3 linked regions of the Lepisosteus oculatus genome follow. The protein of the gene in region 3 purifies or fractionates together with the protein of the main gene of each other region. This does not show direct contact. Links are inferred from orthologs where the notes say so. Each region holds a gene or a part of one and is shown on either strand. Other genes may lie near its edges.

Evidence for each region.
Region 1: the proteins of SRSF protein kinase 1 (region 3) and top2a fractionate together in Homo sapiens (co-fractionation; 3 studies listed by BioGRID and IntAct, with this or other methods). This does not show direct contact. The link is inferred for Lepisosteus oculatus from reciprocal best matches to the Homo sapiens genes SRPK1 and TOP2A.
Region 2: the proteins of SRSF protein kinase 1 (region 3) and drosha purify together in Homo sapiens (affinity purification with mass spectrometry; 3 studies listed by BioGRID and IntAct, counting the BioPlex papers as one, with this or other methods). This does not show direct contact. The link is inferred for Lepisosteus oculatus from reciprocal best matches to the Homo sapiens genes SRPK1 and DROSHA.

Annotation. Positions count from the first base shown.
Region 1 is NC_090723.1:6,354,146-6,362,326, forward strand, and holds the start of top2a (DNA topoisomerase 2-alpha), read left to right. Parts: upstream 1-4,967; 5' UTR 4,968-5,181; coding exon 5,182-5,205; intron 5,206-6,551; coding exon 6,552-6,695; intron 6,696-7,235; coding exon 7,236-7,326; intron 7,327-7,668; coding exon 7,669-7,732; intron 7,733-8,181. UniProt on the Homo sapiens protein: Key decatenating enzyme that alters DNA topology by binding to two double-stranded DNA molecules, generating a double-stranded break in one of the strands, passing the intact strand through the broken strand, and religating the broken strand.
Region 2 is NC_090701.1:6,467,898-6,476,087, forward strand, and holds the start of drosha (ribonuclease 3), read left to right. Parts: upstream 1-4,801; 5' UTR 4,802-4,967; intron 4,968-6,155; 5' UTR 6,156-6,162; coding exon 6,163-7,025; intron 7,026-8,190. Other genes in the region: c6h5orf22 (UPF0489 protein C5orf22 homolog), read right to left, coding at 801-1,263, 2,025-2,174, 3,635-3,780, 4,285-4,356. UniProt on the Homo sapiens protein: Ribonuclease III double-stranded (ds) RNA-specific endoribonuclease that is involved in the initial step of microRNA (miRNA) biogenesis.
Region 3 is NC_090700.1:36,074,472-36,082,103, forward strand, and holds the start of SRSF protein kinase 1, read right to left. Parts: upstream 3,196-7,632; 5' UTR 3,148-3,195; coding exon 3,077-3,147; intron 1-3,076. UniProt on the Homo sapiens protein: Serine/arginine-rich protein-specific kinase which specifically phosphorylates its substrates at serine residues located in regions rich in arginine/serine dipeptides, known as RS domains and is involved in the phosphorylation of SR splicing factors and the regulation of splicing.

The sequences.
Region 1 (8,181 bases), on a different chromosome or scaffold from region 3:
GTCCTCAACAGCTTCACTGCAGTTCTGGTTGTTGTTATGAATATTAATGGCAGTAGCAGTAGGCTTAAACAATAGCTGCAGTGTTGTTTTCGGTAATATTAGGGAGCTCTGGAGGAGTTACTGCTGGAGGAACCTAATGGAAGAAAAATAAACTGCTCAGTGACACTCATGTTTGCATGTGCTATTTGCTCTGCTGAGGTGACAGTGTGTTTTGTTATCCCTCTGATGTGCAATTTACAATCAAACTCCTTTCCTGTTGCTCCCTTTCACCATTCCTCTGCAAGGAGACCACAGTGGAGGTTGGACACTCCTTTGGTGTTAAACCAGATAAAATTCACAAATGCAGGGGTAAAGGAGTCTTGATTAATTATTTTATAATTCATTAATTTGTTTATTGCTAGAAGGCATCATTTTGCTGATACTCAAGGTATGTGTTTGTTACAATATGTATTATGAGCAGGTCACAAATCTTTTGCTTGAATGTATTGTGCCCACATAACTGAAGTTCTCCATCTTGTTTTAGAATCCCAAGGCATTTGTGCGTGTTAATTTGTACTTTTGCATGTTACACTAAATAAATAACAACATTATGAAAAATACTGACGTTGACAGCTGTGAGGAGCCTTTCTAAAGCAGTGACAAACTTGTGTGCCATATTCCACACTCACTGGCCAAAATATTAGCAACCCCCACCCCCAGTCAAAGATGCAGGCCATGAAGAGCCTGAGACAGACTTCGATCCCCAGACTTTCTGAACACACAGTATCACAACCTCGACTGAAGGTGACCCAGCTAGAGGAGCTGGGGGATGGCTCAGTGGCTCAAATGGTAATATGCTTGCCTGAGCATTAGGTAGAGTTCTGTGACCTCAGGTTCGAGCCCGGGTCAGGTCACTAACTGGGATGCTGGGATGTCTGGGAATCCCAGAATGGTGGTGAACAGTTGGCCGAGAGCTGCAGAGGGTGGGGAAGGGGGATTAGTCAGCTAGAGAGGTCTTGGATGTTAGCGACAGTGACCCCCTGTGGCCTCCCAGGGACTTGCAGGCTCACGGGGCTGTTGGTAAACAGCCTCTCCTGCAGGGGGCAGTGTGGCACCTTGGATGCCTTTAAGACAAGCGGCTCAGAGGTGGGTGGATCGGAGGGCGTTGCCCCACCTTTCTCGTTCTCTCCTCCCTGTGTGCGGTTGTGGGGTTCGTGAGCTGGGCATCAAAATGTGAAAAACACATGATTAGCTCTTCCAGGCTGGGTGGATATAAGGAGAACAATTGGAGACGCATACATTAAGAAGAAGAAGAATGGGGGCTGCAAACAGATCAGAATTTTGCAGAATACAAGCTACGTCCTCTGCTGTGTTTGCAGCAGGGGGGGGGGTCCTAATATTTTGTCCAACAAGTGTAGCACTCCTGGCGAAGAGTGAAAGAGCCCCAGAATGAGCGGAAAAAGCAGACCGCGGTAAAATAGGGGTTCAGAAATTAACGAAGCGGTATGCTATTGAAACTGAAGGGTTAACACCTTCACTGCAAAACACAGCTAATATTTTATTAATAGTAAGTGCAGCAATCATCAAGATCCTGACGGTTTGCTAACCTGAATATCCGCTGGCGGCACGCTGCATAATGACATCCAAACAGCTAATGAATACATTAGAGATGCAGAGAGAAAGATTTCAGCGCAACATCAAGGATGAATAACATAATTGCCTGAAGGAGCAATTGCAGGGAAAACAATTTCAGCTTTGCTGCTTGCATGTCACCACAGGACATGCTTTTGGTTTTCCTGCTTGTTTTTTTTGGGGGGGGGGGTTCTAGACAAATTTAAAGTTGTCGCCTTCAACTATTTTAGGATATCCCACGCCCAAACCCAGTCCAGAACCTTAAGGCTAAACATAACTTTAAATCTAACTCTAAGTTTGTGCCATTATTGAGCGTAATCCAGCTTTTCTCCCTAAACCTTATTGTGACTCTAAATATAACTCTACTCTGTTGTTCACTCCAATGCTAACCCCACCCCAGCTCTGACAGCTGGGAATAATGGATACCATTGTCAGGCCAAACAATGGATTCCAGTCTAGTGCAGAGTGCCGGATCGTCATGGCACAGGGCCACAGCCGTCAAGTGGCTGGACTCTGTTATTGATGCAGTCTGTGCCTTCCTTGCTCAGTCTTGCACTCTCGGGCTGAGCTCTGCTCTGCTGCCTGACCAAGGGAGGGAGGACTTTGATAGCAGTCCGCCCGGCCTCTTCCCCGTCCATTTTCATCGCTCCTGTGGTGCTTTCCCAGGGTCTACTCTTCGCTGTGTTACAGCCCACAGTCAGGAGTGGATCAATGCTGAATCCGAGACTGCCCCGGCCATCTCTCCCGCACTGGTCGGCACTGACCTCCTTTCCGACCAGTGCCGGGCATTTCCGGCACCTCCTTGGACTTACTGAGGCTGAATTTTACAGTGCCCGGTGCAAGCAAAGGCACTGTGCGCTTCCGCTGGAGATTAAAAATAGTTAAAGGCGTCTTACAATCACAATTACAATCAGTAGGCTTTTTATTGAAGTTAAAATCGGAGGAAAGCAGTTTTGAAAATTCATGGACGTGTGCCCTCTAGCTGTGCTGTAAAGGAGGGATGGTAGGTGAGATGGACACTTGGGAACCTCCAATAAAAGTGAACGCAACTGCTTGACAGCACCTGAGACACTGATCCCTCCAGCAGGGGGCACTGTGACATCAAACGTATTCTAATGCTTCTTTCTCCTGCACTTCTGGCATTTTAAATCATGAAATCATGAAGCACACTTTCAAAACAATAAACACCCATCTAAAATGGCCACATCTATGATGTGTTCTGTTCAGGATTTGAAATGGCTTATATTTCAAAAGGAAATGTCAATGACTTCTGCGTTCTGAGATGCTGTTTTTGACATTTTGGAATCACTTGCAAGGAGAAACTGGTATGCAATGGTTTTTTTTTTCCTAACCGCAAACCATCTATCTAAATGTCATTTTGCTGCAATAAAGGTCTCCCACGAAACAAAGATCCTTAGGCATGTACTGTAAGATAGGATCTCAGAATAACCCTGTCTTTCAATACCTTCACCAAGTCACAAGGGCTGAGGGCCAGACAGAACTAATGACATCAAGCAATAAAGTGTGTCCCAGGAAGATCTGCTTTTGCTGTGTTGAGTGGCCATCTTGCAGCACTGCAGTCTGGCCTCGCTGATCAGCATCAACGCATTGGGATGGGCTTCTATCAGCAACCTTGCCTGGGCTAAATTTAGCCTGACCTTGAGGATCAGCAGGGCCCCCCTTGGGATCCACAGCACAGCCCCTCCGCTGTTTGGAGCCTGCTCACTCCGGCATCAGCACGGGGCCCACAGCTGTCACTCAGTATTAACAGAGCACGCGGGCTGACAGAAAACATCCCCTGCCCGAGCCAGGGCTCTCAGGCCAGCGATCGGACGGCCGCCCAAGTGCAGTGGACGAGCAGGCCCGATGCAGGCGTAGATATGTGTGTAGCATACTCCAACGGCAGCGTTAATAAGCCCAGGCCCTGACCTGCTCCCACATCCGGCTGAAACTGGTATGTGAAGGTGCTGGGCAAGCACACTGTGAACTGGAGAAAGTGGCTATCAAACAGATAGATGAACAGTACCTCTGACAAGCCTGGAATCTCCAGGCGCCTCTCAGCCACTTTGTCAAATAGCTCACTTGTAAAACACAAGTACTGAAGGAAGAAGGGTTCAGAGAACAGGGAGAGGACAGTGCAGACAGTGGGCTCAGCGTGGAGACAGTGTGCACATGGTTACAGGCCAGACTGAGGTTACAGTGAGTCCCATGTCATAATAATAATAATATATAATAATAAACTTTATTTTATATAGCGCCTTTAAAGGTGGCTTCTCAAAGTGCTTTGCAGGATGACAACAACAATAAGAAGAATACACAAGATAAAACACAATTATAATATATAGAGGAGACCACGGACACGTTTAGTCATGAGCTAAATATATATTATATTAAACAAAACAAAAAACAACAGTCACAAAGGCTGAGGAGGATGGTAACAACAACAACAATAATAAAATAATAATAATAATAATAAAATAATAATAATAATAATAATAATAATAATAATAATAATAATAATAATAATAATAATATGCTCACACCGGAAGAAGGCTCCATGGCCGAAACGTTGTTTTCTTTCTTCTTTTCAGAATGGAATAAACCTATTACTTGTTCCTAATAATAATAATAATGTTGCAAATGGGGGGTGACCAGACTGGTGAAAATTACTTTCCACAGATAAACACAAACGGGGTGGGGTGAGAGCGTACAGTGACGGGGGGTTACAGCGAGAAATAGCTTTTTTTGCTGGTCTTCACGTGTTAACTTTTGCTTGGAACACGATGCCATCTATCGGATATCCTTATCGGTACACATAGTCGACATTTCTTCCTGATTATGCTAGCGAGCTGGTCCTGCCGCGGCAAATAACGTGTTCTCAAGCTCCAGAGAGGTTTCCACATGGAGTCATAATATAGAGTCCTGTATTCGGGGGAAGTCTTTTTACATACAGCGTTACTGCATACAGTTTAAAGTACGGATACATAACTGCACAAACAAAATAAAAATCTTATAACAACAACGTTTAAAGTCCAGCTTTGCACAATCGTAGTGCATTTTGGATCAAAGCTATTAAAAAAAACCCTACAGCTGCTTAAAGATTATTAAACCTACGATTCAGCGCGAAACCAATGCTGGTTACTCTCCTCTCTTGATGTGATTGGCTATTTCAACTTGCGACGCACCGCCCCGTCCTGTCCACGATAACCAATGTGAGACGAAGAACATGTTGCTGTGTCCTGTGATTGGTCAATGACAGCACTTGAGCGGAAACAGCCACGAAAAAAAAACAATTTCAAACGGAAGTCAGTAGGCTTCGCGGGATCTGATTGGTCAATCTTTGAAGCGCAATGTAAACGTATTTTTAAATTTGAAAATGCAGTTCGGTGAAGGGTTGGCTCTTTGTCGGTTGTGGTAGTCAGTGTTATTCTGTAGAGGTTTAAAGTGTAGTGCTAGGTTCGGTTGAGAGGGTTTTGTTAGCGTTGATATTTTTAGCTTTATTCATCTGTTTTAGTAAAACAGCCATTCTCTGTTTTATATAGGTTGTAATACCGCTCGAATAGTTAAGAAATGGCCTCTGAAGGAACGCTGAAGGTAAGGTTAATGTCGACGAGCATGCTGGTGGTATCTGTGGAGGGAAAACCGAAATCTGGAGCCGAATGCTTACTTGAAAATATTATATACCTGTTTCTTTCCTCGTCTGTGCACGATTAAACAATTCTATTTCATTTGGGCTAATAAACACGGTTTTACATTCATGTTCAAAACCGTTATGTAAGGCAAAAAGACTTGCGGGGTGGAGGGAGTTTTTAATCTGGGATTATGAAAACAATCAGAACAGTAAAAAACTGGATTTATGACCGCATTCCAATCCTCCAATGCTAAAATATTATTTTAATGTAAAGTTTTCCAGATAAGTGCTTTCGATTTCGTCTTGGGACATATTTTCTTTTTTCTTTTCTGGCGAGGGTAAATTGTCCTGTTTGCGTGCAGCCTGCGATCGCAGCCGGTGATGGGTATGAAAATCAGATTTCAGATCGTGAATGTCCCCAGGTCGTTGAAGTGCTTACAAAATGGCGAGAACTGGACTCAGTTTGTCATGCCCCCTGACGGTCATCCTACCTCGATTTCCCTAAAACTACGATTCCGTGATTTCTGCTTTACTTATTCGGCTGCAAGAACTGAATTATTGACCAGTTCTCATCTTACTGTCCCAGCGGAACCAAGGAAAGTAGAGTTCGGCGTTTTGATAACCTTTCTTAATTACCACAGTGACAGGCATTGTATCTGGGACGAAGAATTTTCCGAGATATTTCAATTATAAATTTTGGGGGTAAATATTGTGGGGTTTGACTAAATAGAACGCAGCTGCTACATGGGATGTCTAGTCTTTCTTGTGTACAGAAACGAAAGACTATTTACACTTGCAAATGTTAAGTGCTTCGGTCTGGGACGAGCGGGGCGGAAGAGCGTTGTCCGTTAACTTTTTTTTTTGGTCAAGTTTACAATCTGGTGGCAGCGAGCCGAACTTCAGTCCGTCCCGTCCCCCTAAATCTTTTTAAATCCCTACCGCCTGTGGCATTGACACGCATCGCTTTCTTCTCTTACGACACCAGAGTAAGGCACAATCATTTCATGCAGCACTTTTCCTGTGGGAAGTTAAAAACCGTTTCAGACTCCTTGATGGCATGAGCTAAACGGTAAACCGAACTTCACCTCTGCAGGGCTGGTTTTCATTCCAGCGCACCTATTAATAATACAATTGAACTGGTAATTGGCTTCATTTAAGCTCTTTTGCCAGAACTTTTCCCTGCTGTGGATCTTTAAAACCCGCTGGACAGTGGCTCTCCCAGACGGGGATTCTAAATACCAGTCCACAGGGCGCGTTTGTAAAGCCAAATTGCTGTCGCCCACCTCTTGCCCTTTTGTGTCCCCTGCAGACGATGTTTGAGAACAAGCCTGTGAGCAAGGCGAAGGATGATAAGCGTCTGTCTGTGGAGAGGATCTACCAGAAGAAGACGCAGTTGGAGCACATTCTGCTCCGTCCCGACACCTACATCGGGTCTGTGGAGCCCGTGACACAGGTGAGCACTTGTGACACAGGCGGGCAGGCACCTGGCCATGCAGTTTGCAGTGTGGCAGCTCTTTATATATCCGGGAAAGTGTAGGCAGAGGCTGGATTCATGCTGTTTATTACCCCGTTTTAGTGGATGGATGTTATTTTTGTCAACTCAAAGCTAGTGCATTAATACTTTCGTGATCATTTAAGGGAGGGTGTCTCATATCTTTTCGCCATGTGTACTCTAAACTGTAGTACATTATGCAATGGTACAAGGTTATATGTCAGTTTGGTTGTTTGTGATGGTTCTCTGCACTGAACCCTTGTGGATGTTGAGAACCTGCTGTAGTTGGACAGTCCAGTAAGAAATGCAGCCTATGGTGGATTCCCTAGTTTCTAGTATGTTTCCTAATGCAGAGTTCCGGCATGCTTTGCAATGTTACTGCATTGAATGAAGGCTGTGGCACCAGTCAACTAACAATCAGCTCACACTGAAATCTTGTTGAAGAGCCCCAGTTTGATGTTCCACAATAGATAACTAAGTTTTGATGGCCTTCTTTTCTAGCAAATGTGGGTGATGGATGAAGAAATCGGAATGAACTGCAGAGATGTGACTTTTGTTCCTGGCTTGTACAAGATCTTTGATGAAATCCTTGGTAGGTACTAATCAATAATGTGAGGTGGTGTCAGAGTAGCCTTCTGCTGTAATAATTTGTGCTTAATTGACAAAGATGTGTCTCTCTTCCGGACATTGTTATACCATACAGCATTGAGCCATTGATCTTTTTCATAGCGCCACAGGATAATGGACGGTGTGTATTTGTTTTCTAACATTGCCGTAAGAGGATATTTCCATGGATCCTTTTGACTCTGTGCATATTAATGATCAACAGTATTAAACACAGCTTTTCAAGATTATTGAAAATTGAGCTAGAAAATCTGTTCTTCTGTTTGAAAAATAAGTAAAAGCCTAAATCTAAGATCTTGTTTTTCTCCAGTGAATGCTGCAGATAACAAACAGCGGGATAAGAAGATGTCCTGCATCAAGATCAACATTGACCCGTGAGTGATGTTCTAGAATATAGTCAAGGGTGCAATCGAGTCGACAGTTTAGCGTTAACATTTTAACATTTCAGTACCTAGAGTGTTTTTTTCAAATGTAGATACTTTATTTTATTGTGGTTTCGGAACTGAAAACCATGAAAAAGCTCAAGTTAAATAAATCCCTGGATCATTTAACAGTAAATGACTTAATTGGAGGAAAAATCAAAAGCCACTGGGCTTCGCAAACCCTGCCTTAGTCACATACTTGCCCTGTAATCCACCGCTACACTTATTCCTACACTAGTACACTATTATGGAAACAATTATCAATGACACACCTCTAAAAAATCACTTGAGTGTCACTGACTCTCGGAAATCCTTTCTATCACCTGGATCAAAATGTTTGTTTGGGAAGCTGTGCTTCCTTGAGAATTAAATTTCAGGAGGAATTGGAACCATCTTTATAG
Region 2 (8,190 bases), on a different chromosome or scaffold from region 3:
AGAGAATACGAAATGTTATGCTGTATTCCAAAATAAAAAGCCTACAGTCAATGGAGGAGGGCCCGACAATGGCACAAATCACCATGGATATGAAAGACACGTTCTCTTCATTTGGAGGCCCGTGGCGTTCTTTCAGAAAGGCCCATATTTGACTCAGCCAGAGATGTACATTTGTCATGGTATAAAGGAAAACACTAAAGCATCTGTATGTTGTTGTCCTTGAAGTTTTCAAAAGCATGGTCATAAATATCATCAGATATATGGACAATTTAGCTAAGAAACGGAAGGTGGACTTGGAACTAAATGCGATTTAACAGACTAATAATTTACGTTTTTTGCTAGATATTTGGCTTAATATAAATACCCTCTAACTTTTCATAACTATATTTATCCCCCTAATATAGCAATAACTTAATTAGAATAACAATATCCTACACAGTGACAAAGTGGTAAGCATTACTGCCTTACAGTGCTGGGGCCCTAATTTCAATTCCAGATCTAGGGTGCTGTCTGCATGGTTTCCTCCCGCAGACCAAAGACATACTAGCAGGTAACTTGGCTTCTGGTGTGAGTGTGCGCTGTGATGATCTGGTATCCGGTCCAGACTGTATTCTGCCTTGCACCTGTTGCTTGCCGGGGCAGGCTCTGGCTCCCCCTCAACCCTGAACTGGATGAAGTGGTTAGAAAATGAGTGGATACCTAACCCAATCTTTGTGATTATATTGCACTTCACCGCATTCAAAACATTTTTGGCTGTGGAAGAGACCGAAGAAACCCAAGGTACATATCTTTGCCATTACCTGGGTATACATTTCCTTGAAGGGGTTCTTGCATGAAAAGAAATCCAGGTCAATATCCAGAATGTAAGCATCTGTTTGCTGGATAACTGGGAGGATTCGTTTCACGGGGTCTGTTTCCGAGTCCAGTTTGATTTTTGAAAGGCAGCTGGTAGAAGATCCTCTGCTGGGCTGTGCTATTTCTCCATGGCCACTGCTACTTGTGGTGGACTTGCTGCCCCCTGCTGGTTCCACACTCATGTCTGCAGGTGTCTTCTTTGCCAAGGACTCAACTTCATCCAGCCCACCCGAAGGCTGTAATTTAGGTCTTTTAGCAGCGCACTCCACGGTTTCCTCCTCTTGCTTCCAAGCATTTTCCACTGGGATAACTCTGACAACATGCAGCTGTAAAGGCTTCTTATTTTCTAGCTGATCTTCAGGGACATAGAGCCCATCGCTTAAAAAATAATCATCTTTACTCGTCACCCTGAGACACACAGAAAAAAAATGTGAAGGTTTCTTGTTATATTGTTCAGCAGAGGACGAGGTATGAGCCACTGCAACATGAAGAATGAACTTATCTCTCACTATATTGTGCATGCATCATCGTGATTAACAGGAAAAAGTGCTAAGAAAACCTGTGTCAAGATGAAGAGTAAGCTCAATGTTGCGCTAACAGTTGTTTAGAAATTATGTTATGGACCAGTAAGTGTACTGAGAAACCATGGAGCACAATCATGAGGCCGTGTAGCTGAATATGCATTTGAACGAGAAAATCTTGTGAGCCCATCATCTAAAATTGTTTTAAGGGTTTCCTCAGAAGATTATGGGACAAGCTCAAATACCAAATGAAAGAGCAACAAAAAACAGACTGACGAAAAGTAAAAAGTCAGGCAGAAAGAAAAACCTGGCATTATGAAAAACAAAGAGCGTTAGAGATAAAAAGGCAAATAAATAAAAAAAAGTAAAGTAATTTGTGATGTATGTCATGTCATTTGCCAAACCGCTTTTTATACCATATGTCCATTTTCCACATTTCCATTGAAAATAAACACTTACACATCCAGCCATTAACATGTGACATTTCGAGATGTATTATTGATGAACTAACTGGTTGAAACAGTGAATTCTAGCCATATTCTAATGTATTAGTAGCACAATGGTTATTGTACATTTAACCAGCAATCACATAGCCTACATAGCCGATATAAAACAATGCCAAATCAACATGTTGTACTATGAATTTACCTGATTGTTGTTGTAGAGGAATCCTTCCCAACCGACATATTGTGCTCCCCCTCTGTAATCTGTTGTGCCCAGGAAGGGTGAAGCCATAGGACATTAGATAAATGCCCTGCATACACCATGGGCATAATCCAATTCTCAATACTTAGCTCACTGGAAAGATATTAAAATATCAGATAATGTTTAAGACTAAAATTCAAGGGGACAGATTAATGGCTTTTTTCCCCTAAGAATTTATGCCTACTTATTACAGAGCTCCTCGGGTCGTGGCAAACATTACTGAACTACAGACTCCAGCAAACAAAATATATCAGGTATTATAACTCAGCTTTAAACGTTAAAAGCTTTGTGGAAAGAAAGTCATGAAATACAAAATACTTGAATGCACTTAATTCAATACCGTGAAACAAAAATGAAATTGTTATTTGAAATGAGTCATTGAAAAAAATCCGATATAGACCCCTTAGTCTTCTGCTACAGTCGCCAAGTTGTGGTAGCGATAGAAATAAAGTGGGAGAGTACTAAGAAAGCAGTGGCATTTAAAAAAAACAGCAAAGATTAGAAAGGAATGTCTTATTTTACTTTCTTGCTAGAATTCTTCGAACAGGTGATGAACATAGTAGAGAAGCCTTGATTTAAAAGGGTCAGGTAGAGGTTCATTCGCTGCTAAAAGGTAGGGAAAGAAAAACAACACTTGGTCTGTGGAGCCTTCTTCAGGTGTGAAGGAGGGAGAGAAAGTACAGTAGCAGATCAATATGGCATAGCAGGACAAAACAACAGAGTAGGTGAAAGGGACGGGGAGCAGTTGGGAAATGGGCATAAAGCAGGTGAGAATGAAACTAGAGGATAACAGGATGAGAGGTGTGGAAAGCCTAAATGATTAATTTAGTAGCAAACAGTACAAAATATTTAGATATCCAGAAAGATTTTATAAAGAGACTTATACAAATTCATGAACTACACAGACACAAGGCTAATTTCATTTAAAATTAATATTAATATGTGCAAGCAATTGACACTTCTTAAAAGGAACACACTATTTAACTTAATATTGCATGGGTGATTCGGTCCCACAGCAAGCTAAAAGCAGAGCGGCAGGGTGGCGCAGTGGTAAGCATGACTGCCTCGTAGTGCTTGGGGTCCTGAGTTCAATTTTGAACCTGGGGTGCTATCGGCATGGAGTTTGTATGTTCTGCACGTGTTTGCGTGGGTTCCCTCTGGGTGTGACAGTTTCCTTCCAAGGGCATACTGGTAGGTTAATTGGCATCCAGGAAAATTGGCCCTAGATGTGAGTGTGCGTCCTGCGATGGACTGGCACCCAGTCCAAGATGTACCCTCCTTTGAGCCTGCTGCTTGCTGGGATAGGTTCTGGCTCTATGGAAACCCTGAATTGGAAGAAGCTGTTAGAAATTGGATAATGGGACACATGGACAGACAATCAGTGTTCGGATCAGGAGAGAAGAGACAGCGAGAGACATATGTTCTTTTTTTTTTTCCTCGCACAGCTATCAAACCACAGGTAAGATGTTCATGAAAAAACAACCATCATGTTCATTATCATGTTTGTTCCTGCAATCCTTTCAGAATATCTGTGACCAATGAACACATCTTACCTAAACAGCTCTTCTTTGTCGAACACGGTGTCAGCAGGCATGTTGACAGGAATAAGCAGGTCGGGGTGGGAATCTAAATGGATCATTTTGATGTTCTTTATAGGTAAATGTCTGGAGCCAATGGCGCGATAGATGTGAGGTAGCACCTGTATTAGAATAAAGTGCAGAGATTGCAATTGCGGTTTGTAAAACGAGCAACGTGATCTGTCAACTGTCGGCTTTCCCATAATTGTACTTTGTTACAACAGTGTAGCATTAATAGTACTGTTTATTCTTCGGGAAAATAGCTGGTAATGTCCAAAATGTATTTTTTTATTCGCATTTTATTTTTGTGAGGGTCTTAAACTATAACTATATATATATATTACATGAATTTACCCGGAACACTTACAGGATTGATTAAACAAAACTGACCACAGTTCGCAGTGTATATACATGAGGCTATAAATAGCATAAATACATATTGATGACAATATTCCTCTTTGTACAGTCTTCGGTATTCATTATACTACAGGGTTAAGACTGTATTTTACAATCAACTATTGCTTTCAATTTGCAATTCGTATTCTGAAAGCTGGATATATTAAGGCTGTAAGCAGGGAAAGGAAACGCAGACAATTAGATTAAAAAAAAGTGAAACTGGTACTCACATCATGATGATCTTCCACTATCCAGACGGGGACATCTTTATAAACTCTACTTGGCGCTTGAGTGGAATTCATACCACCTCCTCAAAAAAAAGAAAAAAGAAAAAACAAACCACTTGCTCTCTGCCTGCCTGCAGTTTATTTTAGCCTTGTTGACGGGGGACCCGTCTCAGTGTAACACACGCCGTTTCCTAGCCGCGATTGGTGGAGCTGTCCCGTCTCTGCAAGCGATTGGGCCGAAGTCGTCCGTCTCGGTCTTTTGCGCCGCGATGAAACACGTTGCCTTCACTTATGCTTCCCCGGTTGTTTAAATCTTAAAACATCTTTCCAGTTTCCCTTGTCTCATGAAGGCAGCGGCTAGATTTATGCGTTGCTAGGAATACATGGTACAGAGTCGAGAAGCTAAAAAACTGAAAAGCTGTTGTTTTAAAGTGATTGCGTGTTACAAACCGGAATATGCCAGTCGTCGCATCCGCTCAGAGGAAAGGAAGGCGAGCCGATATCAACAGGGATCATTTCCTGTTGAGATTATGGTGCTGAGCTTGAAGCGGCGATACACATGTAAAATGTAGGGTAATGACCAAACTTTTTATCTTGCTAGCAACAATTCTTTTAGGTAAATCGTTTTAACTCTTCTTGGAGACTGGCGATCGTTGTCTTTTGTTCTAAACATTTTATCGTTAAAGGTAAGTTTCTGTAACATGCAGCTTTGAATTTCTTTATACCGTTGTATGCTTTGGTAAAAAAAAAACGTAAAAAACGTGCAAGCGATAGGCTAGTTTGTCTCGGTTATATTAAGAACTGAACAGGCTACAATATCTCAGGCTACAATAATGTTTTTCCCCCCATGTTGTCAATTTGAACGAATTTATGTTATTTACCTATACAAGTCAGATGGTGCAGTCACGAAACACACAGCATTGTTGACGGTATTTTTATTTTATATATAAAAAAATCTTGCTCATAATTATTTATGGCGCTTTTAAACAGCAAATCATACTGATACACAACGATGCCGGACATCGGTAGCAGTCCCACACTTTAAATGGGCACGATGAAATACGTCAATATAGAAATCCAGCATCAACTTTTATTCTTTTTTTGCGTCGTATTTAACATACAGTATGCACTTCAGCCATTTAAACTTATAGACCACTTCATTGAAATATTTGATTGATTCGATGTTTAACCTTTTTTTTCGCATTTTGGCTAGAGACTCACATACGGGCAGCCTTTTGTGTGTCGTTTCCATGAATTACAGTGATACCATCACATCTTTGATGCCATACAGGATGTAGACTTAAATATGATCAGCTTTATGCCTGCCATTTCCACGAAATACAGTGATCAAAACTCCGTTTTAACTTGGTTTAAAACTGTTGCTCTCCCGTTGCTTTCTAAACAGCTCTTATTGTTTGTCAGTTAACAATGCGCAGACAGAATTGGGAATGATACTGTCAAGCACTCTGATTAAAAAAAAAAAAGAGGCATTCCTATTGCTGCGTAGGTCTGTTCATTAGGTTTAACCAAATAATTGAAAATACATTAGTGTGTGGGGAATCGAAACAGATTTGGGCACCAGTTTCATTCTTATTTCTAACAGTGTTCAGTCTAAAAATAAAGATGATCTTTTATTTCACACTGCTTTATAGACTTATCCTCTATATATTCTCTATATATCTACATGAAGATCTCAACATTTTGGTCTAGTTAGCAGTTTTTATGTATAACTAGTGCAGTGCAGTCCATCATAGAATCTTTTTGTTGAATTGCGTTTGTTGAAACCTTTTATTGTTGACTTTCTTGACTGCTGTTACTACCATTAGTGAGATGTAATGCTTGTTGTTTTTGTGTTGTTTTTGCCTCTCTTTAAGAATCAAGATGTCATTCCATCTTGGGCGCGGCTGTCCCAGGGGACGAGTCTCCTCCGGTCAGCGGGGGGGATCGCAGAGCTACCGGCCGCAGAACCTGCGCCAGATTCCTCCGCAGCAGTCCATGCCTTCCTTCCATTACGAGCCGCCGCCGCCGCCTTCGTGCCCCGGATATCCCAGTCAGGGCAGCCCTGGCTACATACCTCCGCGTCCCGATTTCATGCCGTACCCCCCGCCGGTGCCCTCCCAGGGTCAGAGTGCGCTGAACCAGTGCCCGGTTCGCCCCCCCTTCCCCAACCCCCCGATTCGGCAGGGGTTTCCCGGACCCCCGAACTTCCCCCCTCCACCCCTGCCGAACTCGTCCGCCAGCCTGTTGCCCGGACCGGCGGCCTCAGCTCAAGGCTCCTACCACTACATGATGCCCTCGGTGCCGCCGCTGCCGCCGCCCCCGCCCCTGCCGCCCCCACACCCCCCTGCGCCCCCCTCCATGTCGCAGCCCCTGGGCTACCAGCCTCCCTACTCCATGAGCTACCCCCAGCCCCCGTTCCCGCCGCCCGGCTTCGGCGGCGGCGCGGGCTACGGCCCGGGCTCCGGCTCGTTCAAGGCCGACCAGTTCCGGCACGGCGGCCAGTACAAGCCGGAGAAGCCCCAGAGCGACCGGAGGTCGCCGGAGAGGAGCAGGCGGCACGAGGAGCGCCGGCACAGGGGCTACAGCTACGGCGGCCACGGCGACAGGTACAGGCCGGAATACGGCGGGGACCGTAGGGACCGGGGGCGGAGCCCGGACAGGCGGAGGCAGGAAGGGAGCCGCCACAGGTCCGAGCATGAGCGAGGCAGGACGCCGCCTCGGCACAGGAGTCGGGAACGTAGCAGGTAAGTTGAGCTCGACTGGCACGTGCACATCGTCGACGCATGGATATCCTTTAAATGCGCACACTGAAATGCATCAGTGTTGAAACCCAGGGCCCGCTTTTATTCATTTTATGTATCGGATTTAAAATATAGCATGCACGAGCTAAAATGTGACCCAGACCTATAGGGTTGTGTAATGTAAGTGTCTTTCATTGTTTCATAACGAGCTAAGAGGTCCCCTGTCTCTTCTAATTCTAGACTTCTTATAGGACACTTGATGTTTTGAACAAGTACTTGTACTTGATGTATAGAATATGTGATGTTTCTCTTTCCTGCGATTTTCTCCAACACATCCATCAGAATAGATTGTTATAGTGTAATATATCTGTAATAGATTGAGTTGTAATTGTTCAAGTTCTTATAAACTGCCTTGGTAGAAAAGATGTGATCCCTCCTCTCCAGGATTCAGATATGAAGGGCTTACAAGTAATATTTATTAAGTATCACTTATTTTGCAAGTGATGCATGTCCTGATCATGCCAAATAGGGGAATGTGCAATCAGAATTTCAGTATTTCAGGATTTTGATTGCTTTCACCACAATTTCAAAGTCACAAATTTCCTTCCTTTTATTTAAGTCCAAAAAAGGTAAATCCTTCATTTCTTTCTGACCACATTCTAATGGACTACTAAATGTAGTCAGGCTTTTTAAGACTACTGGTATTGAATGACTTCCGTATACTGCATCTTCTCTAAATAACATAGTTGTACTGCAGTACAGTGCCAGATAATTTCCATGGTTGATATCTTTATTAAGCACTTTTCTCAGAGCTCTTGTACTGCCCTGCCGGAAGAGCGTTATCCAACTCTGCAGGAAAGCAACCTCTGGGGTGGTGCTTGACAGCACTTTTGTGAACACAGCTGAAGCTGACTTGATTTATGTAATTTGTCTCCTTTTAATTTTAAAATGTTTTTTTAGAAACAAAAATCTTCATCATGTACAGTTAAACAAATGAGAATGTATTATTAATACATCCCCAAACAAACAAAATACAGTGGGAAAATTAATACTGTGTTTGCTGATGGGTTATTTCACACTCTTCTCACTACGTGGGACATTATAGAGATTAGGAAGAGATTTTGAGATTATCACAATGATTGTGTTGTTTTAATTAGACAGTCAAATA
Region 3 (7,632 bases):
TCTTTGCCATACTCATCAGAACTTTGGAAAATGGCAGATGTAAAGATCTTGTGGGCTTCAGAGATTTAGAGCCCCAAGTGTGAATGTCTTCTGCAGACCACTTCTAGAGCAGAAGAAAACTAACTGTATTCTCCCAAAACTGACCAAGAAGCATACAGCCACCCAGGAAAGTACTGGACGAATTTTTAACTTATCAGTTTAATTTTTACTGGAGAATTTAAAAAACAATACTCTTGGGCCTCCATTATTTTAACAATATTCCATCAGTCTTCAACATTAGCTCATTAATAATGAAACTGCTGTAAAGTCTTTTTTACCCAGAATCAACAGTCACAGTTAAATTCTGAAGGCTGGAAAACTAGGTGCCCTTACAAGATTAACTGTTTAACTGGATGTTTTTTTTTTCACCTAGACCAAATTGAACAAGGATACAGACTCTAAACAGAGCATGTTCTGTAAGGAGAAAATGAAACAATTCTAGTTAAAACTCAGAGCCAAAGGGCACATGGCTCTTTGCATGACTCCCAGACGGAACGCTGTACCTGCTGTCGCGCATGAGGTTAGTACTTAGCATCACACCTGCGCCCAATGCTGGGATACAGCTGTCTTCTCGTTATGGCTAATTATTTCAATGACTTTTTTTAATTTAACCAACGGGCTGAATGCAGCACTAAGACACCCATCGCAAGAGGGTCTGACAGTCATTCCCTCCTGTGTCTGCACATGATTAATGTGTAGACAATAAGAGCTGTATCGAAAGTGACATGAGAGAGAATTTTAAACCAAATGAAATCAACTGGCCTAACTATATTTCTTGAAAATGGCACACAAAGCAGAGTCGCAAGGGTGCGAAAAAATGACGGCCAAGTAAAACTACAGCAATGCATCAGTCTACCAATACATAGGATTGTCTGAACATAATCCCTGCATTAGGACACTGCATCCGAGCCAGAGATCCCCAATCCTGGCCCTGGGAACCCACACATCTGAGACTTTTCATTCAAGCTGAGCCTTTAATTTAACAGAAACCTTAACTGAATCAACAAACTGCTTGGGTTAGAAACTTTGTAAGTTTTTCTACTAAAGGATTGGAGTTTTTAAGATGTTTAATGCAATCGTTAAAGGGCAACATGTTACATGTATAGGATCTGGAAACAATTTAAGAATTCAAATGAAACCTATAAAGGTTCAATTATTTCAACCGAGTGCAGGCGGAACAGAAACCCACAGGTCTCCAGGACCAGGATGGGGTGATCAGAACACAGAGCTTGCATGCTCTCTGACTCAATGACTCTGTGTGCAACCATGAGCATTTTCACTGTTTTAGCTGGTGTCATATAGCATACAAATCAGCCGGCAGAATTTAATCTACTTCATTACTTAAGGTGTGTGCCAGTTGCTCAGCACCGTGATAACTGGCTCCACAAGCGCTGTGATTTTTGTTACACTTCTATAACATTAATTAAATCAATGCAATTACTTCTTTGGAACTCCATCGTCCTGGCTTTGCTTCAACCTTAAAAAAAAAAAAACAGGAAGCCAATCGTGTATACAATACAAGCTGGTTGTCCTGAGCTGTGTTGGCAACAAATGACATCAACACGGTAGTAGATTCACGGTACACTTCATTTTGTGCTGCACAATGAATCTTGCACACTGTCGTGTATCAGCCATCAAAGGTGAATCCATCTCTCTCAGGTCACCGGCGCAAGACGCTTAGTTTCTGAGGAACTGAGCAGTGCTGCACAAGAATGGCTGTGTACAAAGTCACTGACTGATGTCATGCCTCCGGATAGCAGCGTTTGTTTAGGAGTGTGAAAAGCACAGCAGAGGCTCGGTCTCAGCCAGAGAAGCCCAGGGGGCGATGGTCAGATGCAGAGAGACGCGGCTGTGCTGACGCCAATCACCCACACTCACCCCCCCTGCACCCCCAGGCGATAAGGAGCTCACGCTGGGAGCGCACCTCAGCCGCGCTCTGGGGGAGCAGGCTCAAGTACAGCAGCACACAGCACGCAAACCAAAAAGGGAGAGCTGGAGGGTCACTGCACAGGCCTTAAAAAGCACAACCGCAGAATGGGCCCCTCTTGACAACTCCTGCTGTGCTTTACAATCTTCCAGCACCGCAGCAGGACTGCTTCCGCAAGAGGCTTGTCACGCAAAGGGTGCAGGGGCTGAGCAAGCCATTTCAGGAGGGAAAGGCAAGAACAACCCTTCGCCATGACACCAGTAACTGTTAAAACCATCCCACTGCACCAGGCATCAGCACAGCTGTCTCACACTAGGAACCCCCTGGACACTACAGCTACAGAAAACACGAGCGATGCTCACAATACACTTCTTCTATTCGGCTTTGGTATGCATGCAGACAGCTGCAGCCCAGCACCATGGCTGTCCGGACAAGAAGTGCTTTCGGTCTATCTGGTTAATTTAGAGCAAAACTGGAACCTATTAAATAAGAGACTGTCTGCATTTAAACAACACCGCAGCTGTGAAGAGACACGTCTCCGGCATAACAACCAAGAACTCGCTTTTCAGATGAAAGAAGCCCAGTACTGGACCAAGTCAAATGCACAATCAAAGCAAGGAGAGGACAGAAGATTCAATTACACTGTCTGAAAGTCAAAATGCAGGCTTGGTTAATCAGGCATTAATCAAGGCACAGCGAGTAGGAGGAAGAGGGAGGAAGACTGCTCCCCGTTAACTGCCATCTCTAGGGGAAAATAACACTGAAGGGCTGCTCCACTTCAGGACAACATGCGCAGCAACACTGCTAGCAGAGGGAACAAAAATTAAATAAACCTGCTTATTAAAAAAAGAAAAATTCACATATCAGTAAATAAGCAGTGTCCTTTGGCAACAAAAAAAAAAACACAGCAGAGGGTGCTATACATACATTTAAAACTACAAACACTGCATGACTATAGCTGTAAATGCCAACTGCAGCTCTGCTCAGAAACCAGTGCCATTCTCGCCGAACCCCGCTCCCAGGCTGAACCCACTCTGTCGCTCGCTTGCCTTATTGAAAATGAATCAATCCAGCACTACACCTCCTGCCCACCGCCTGGCCCTCACTCACTTGCACCTCAAACCGCTGGCGAGCTTCACCACCGCCGAGTTCAGCGAGACGATCCAGTCTAGCAACCACATGCCAGCTCCGCACAGCACAGCCCCAGCGCTGGAGCGTGCACTCTCTCCTCCGAGCGCTGCTGTGCTGTGCCTTAAAAACTACAGAGGGAGGAGGGGAGAGAGAGGAAGGGAGGGGGGGGGGGTTATTAGATGAATAGTCCACGGGCTGGATCACTGGCAGGCAGTGGTGTCGTGGGACAGCAAGAAAGGTACGCAGGTGCAGGGTTAGAGCAGGGAAGCCAGCAAACACTTTCAAAAACAACATCTATATATATATCTATGCTCTCCTAATTTATGCGCACATCTCAGCAGGAACGCTTCTGTTTGTGTAGAGAGAGAGAGATCTGCAGATACAGCACACAGGTTCTGCTTACTCAATATCCCCAAAAGGCAAAACAATACTTTACAACCTCACCAGCGCTTCAGCAACAGCCTGAGCAAAGACGCTCTGGGGTACTGTGCCCAGCAATACATTTCAGGGGTGAGACGAAGGGAGGACTGGAGACAGGAGAGATCAAGCGGCATCAAATGCCATCTTCTATTAGGCCCCTTGGCCTGTGGGCAGGCTTATGTAACTCCCACAGGAGCAGTGCTCAGCCAAGCAGACAAAACGGAGAGCAAAAGAAATACACATTTCAGCTGGAATGAGGTCTATTTGGCTTGGGCTGAAGGGACGGCACTTATTATCAGTGCCCAGTGCAGAGACCCCGCAGCCTGCCCATAGCCCTACCCCCCTTATTCCCCACACGCAGAGAGCACGCTTTCGACCTCATCAGAACAGACACTCAAAGACTGCTAGCAATGCTCACTGGACCTGGAACACCGCGAGCCCTCTTGAACCTCGGAAAGCAGGGACGAGCTTGAGCCCCTGGGAATGATTCCTGCAGAGCAAAAACATTCCAGATTCCCTGCCACAAAAATAAATTTGGAGCATGACCTCCAAATGCAATGGGATTTAGCATTCTCTTCAAGCTACAAGCCTTTTATACTGCACCACACGCATGCATGAGGGATATTTTAAAATTTACAGAAGGTAAAGAGCAAGAACTAAGAAAAGGGTACCATTTTTTTTTTTACTGCTCCCACTTTATCCTCCTGTGACATTTACTTATGACCTCACGTGTTCCCAGGACGGACGTGTTTCTCAGCCCTGTCCAGGTAGAAGGGTTGCGATTGCCACACCTGCCGGAGCTCATGAGCACTGGCAAACCTGCAGCCAGAGAACGCCCACCTGCGCCCAGAGAGTGAAAAACAGGACGGGCGAGGACTTGCTGCAGCACGACCATACAAGACGCACAACGCTTGCGTAGCCGCGGCCACCGCGGACAGACCGCACCTCGGGCCTCGACCACCACCCTCCCGCCAGGGCCAGGTCTCGTGCCTTTCAAGCCCGCGATGCTGGAAAAACCCTGAAAAAGGGTCCCTGAGGTCAAAGGTTCGTCAACGAAATTTCAACAGCTTTGGGATTCATAATTCAACGGTGAAATTTGTCTTCCCATTTGTACAACAGCCAGCTGGCCATTATGTCCGTAGTTGTAGCTAGTGAGGGAACACACGCCCCTGATATTTGGGAGGTGCGCCATGCTTGTACACAGCAGGTTTCTAGGAAAAATCCTTCTTTGCCTCCAACAGAGATGGGAGGTTGGAAACTAGTTTAGATGCATTGTTGCTTCAGTTCTTGAGCTCCGCAGTCCAACATCAGCAGTGCTCTTCTTGACCTCTTTATATGCAAACTGGCCCAGTTAATTCAATAATGAAGTACAAATGGTAGCTCAGGTATAATGAAAGTGTGCAGGTACAGTGGCCCTCCAGGCCACGCGATGTGGACCCCTGATGTACAGTAACATTGGCATACATCAGACTTCCAAGGCTGTAAATAACCGGGCCCTGTCATGCTTCTCCGTACTCCCCCAGTAGGCTGCTTTCCATTCAGGCTGCTCCTTTGCTCACTGTGCCCTCCACTATACCACAGACTTTTCTCTCCCTGTCCTATTCTTATGAAATGCCCTATTCTTTGAGAGACAAATTCTTTGACTCTCTTTAAACCTTAACTTAAAACTCACCTTCTAGGAGCCTATATCTGATTACTTACAGTTTATCCTGCATGTTTTTGTTTCATTTTACTTACTTTCTGTTCTTTTTTTTCTCTTTATCACCATGTATAGCACCTTTGGGTTAGGAAAGGCACTTTACAAATAAAAGGTATTACATAAAGCACATACACAGGAATAATGTTACACAGGGACAGGCAAATAAATAAAAATATACTCTATGATCAAATGTGCTAAGCGCGTCTTTAGATCAAATCTTCCCCCCCAAAAAAAACAACCTAGAATACATGGTCTCAGCTCACTGAGTCCTTTACCAAGTTGTAGCACTAATGTAAAGCCCATGTGCAAAGTGTTCTCTGACAATCCAGTCTGTTCTGAACTTCATCTGGGCATGTATTTATCCCTCACAGCCAGTGAAACGGATGCTGTGTTTATAAGTCATGCAAGCGATTTGCTGTCCAGCTAGACAATAATGTAGCACAATACATTTGATTGGTGGTGATCTTGATCTCCCGGACAGTTAGAAAACAAATACCAGGACATAAAGCACGAGATGGACAGGTGGGATCAAAGATAACAGCGAGGAAGTGTTCTAAAATGTTCATAACATGATTTCAGCTTGAAATGGGTTTTCACATTTTGTATGGGAGCTTTACAGCTGAAAAGGGGCATTGAGTTTTCTGAAGAGCTGTATAGACCGACAGTCACTGAGGTGATTAGCACTAATGAATACGGAACAGCTGCAGCTGCAAGAACTGATATTGACTAGGGAGTCCCCAGGAGTAATAAACAAAAGACTGTCTCAACACTTGGTCACATATACCTGTGCCTTAAAGCTTTATTTTGCTTGTTGACCTCAGTCAATCAAAACAGCTTTGAATTATTTAGCATGGTATTTTCCAGTGGATTTTAAAATATAACTTATATATACTTTATAATTATAAAGTAATCCAAACAGCAGCAGTGTGGGACAGAGGAGAGGACTCTAGGCCAGGAGGGTTGAGACTTTATGCAGTAGACATATTTTAAGAAAAAGAAAATGAATAAATTGTAAGAGGGCAAACTCTTAATAGCCTATTTTTAACTCTTCTTTGCAAACTAAATCAGAACAGACTAATCGATTTCAGCTGCTCTAATAAACAGAACCCCAGAACGAGGCAAAACAGCTCAGCACCTATGGGAGCAACAATGTTTACCAAGGATTTGCAACTTTTTTTTTTCTTACAGGGCTAGTCCCGCCTTGGAGACAAACCTGAACATCGATTCAAATTTTTTAACCAATAAAAACAAGCCAGTTCACAGGACAGGAATGTCGGACAGCACCCCAGTTAATACATGAGCTAACATATTTCCACAATGTTACTTTATACGACCATCATCAATAATTAAGACTGTTTCTGCTGCCAGGCGGCCTGTCCCTATGTGTTCAGCCTCGATGCCACAGGCCTGAGCAAGCTCTCAGCAGCATGGGCTCAACTTACAGTGGCAAACGTACTATTCCAACTCATAGATGAAAAGGAGGGACAATTTGTGCCATAAGGAAAAAATGCTACATACAGCGAGGCTGGGTCTCGTCATAACCTGGTTATGAGCACCCAGCACTACACCAACACACGAGTCAAGCCTTTGCTAGCAAGGAGATAACTTTTTTTCCCTCCAACCCCTTCACAGACATAACTTTTTTTTTCACTTCCGTGCGCAACAAAAGTCGCTGGGGATGGTAGGCGTTAAAAGAGAGCGAGCAGGCACAGCTCAGCCACAATCTGAAACGCCTCTACTATTGTCTCTTGCAAAGCCACAGTGCTGAGCTGTGTGGAATCAGACGGCAGCCTTGCGCAGACTGAAAACATCTAAAAAGCTCACTGCAGTTACAACCCTCGTCATCCCAGAACCTCAGATATGGCACTGACAATGGTTCCCACAGTCCCTCGAGACCATGTCTAAGGCCACCCCAACAAGCACATTTATGGGACCTGAGAGACGTGTTTCTGGACTCAACACTTAGTGGCACGTCTCTACAACATGCTGCAAAAGCATGGATTTCAATTTCATCCCAATTGTCCTGGAATTTATGTTTAATACATTTTATCAAAGAATTAGAAACTGATTTGTAAGATCAAAGCTTTTGGTCAGAGAAATACCTAAAGCTCAAGCAAGGCAATTGTAGCTGCACATAAGAGTATATAATCCTAAATCTAAATTTGCACAGATCTACTAAGGCACTAAAACCAAGGCAATTCTCTGCAAAATCCCACATTATTCTGTACTGACTAGTCTAAAATGGGACTCACATATTCAGTTAAAACTGAATAAAGAGTAATCCAGAAAGGCTAAAAGAATAAGTTTTTCTTTCACAGATCTTTGTTTTCTAAATTGTAAATAGCTCCCATGTCAGTCTCAAGCAGGGAAAGTACATTTCATTTGTTGTTTTTTTAGCTTACAATACACTACACAC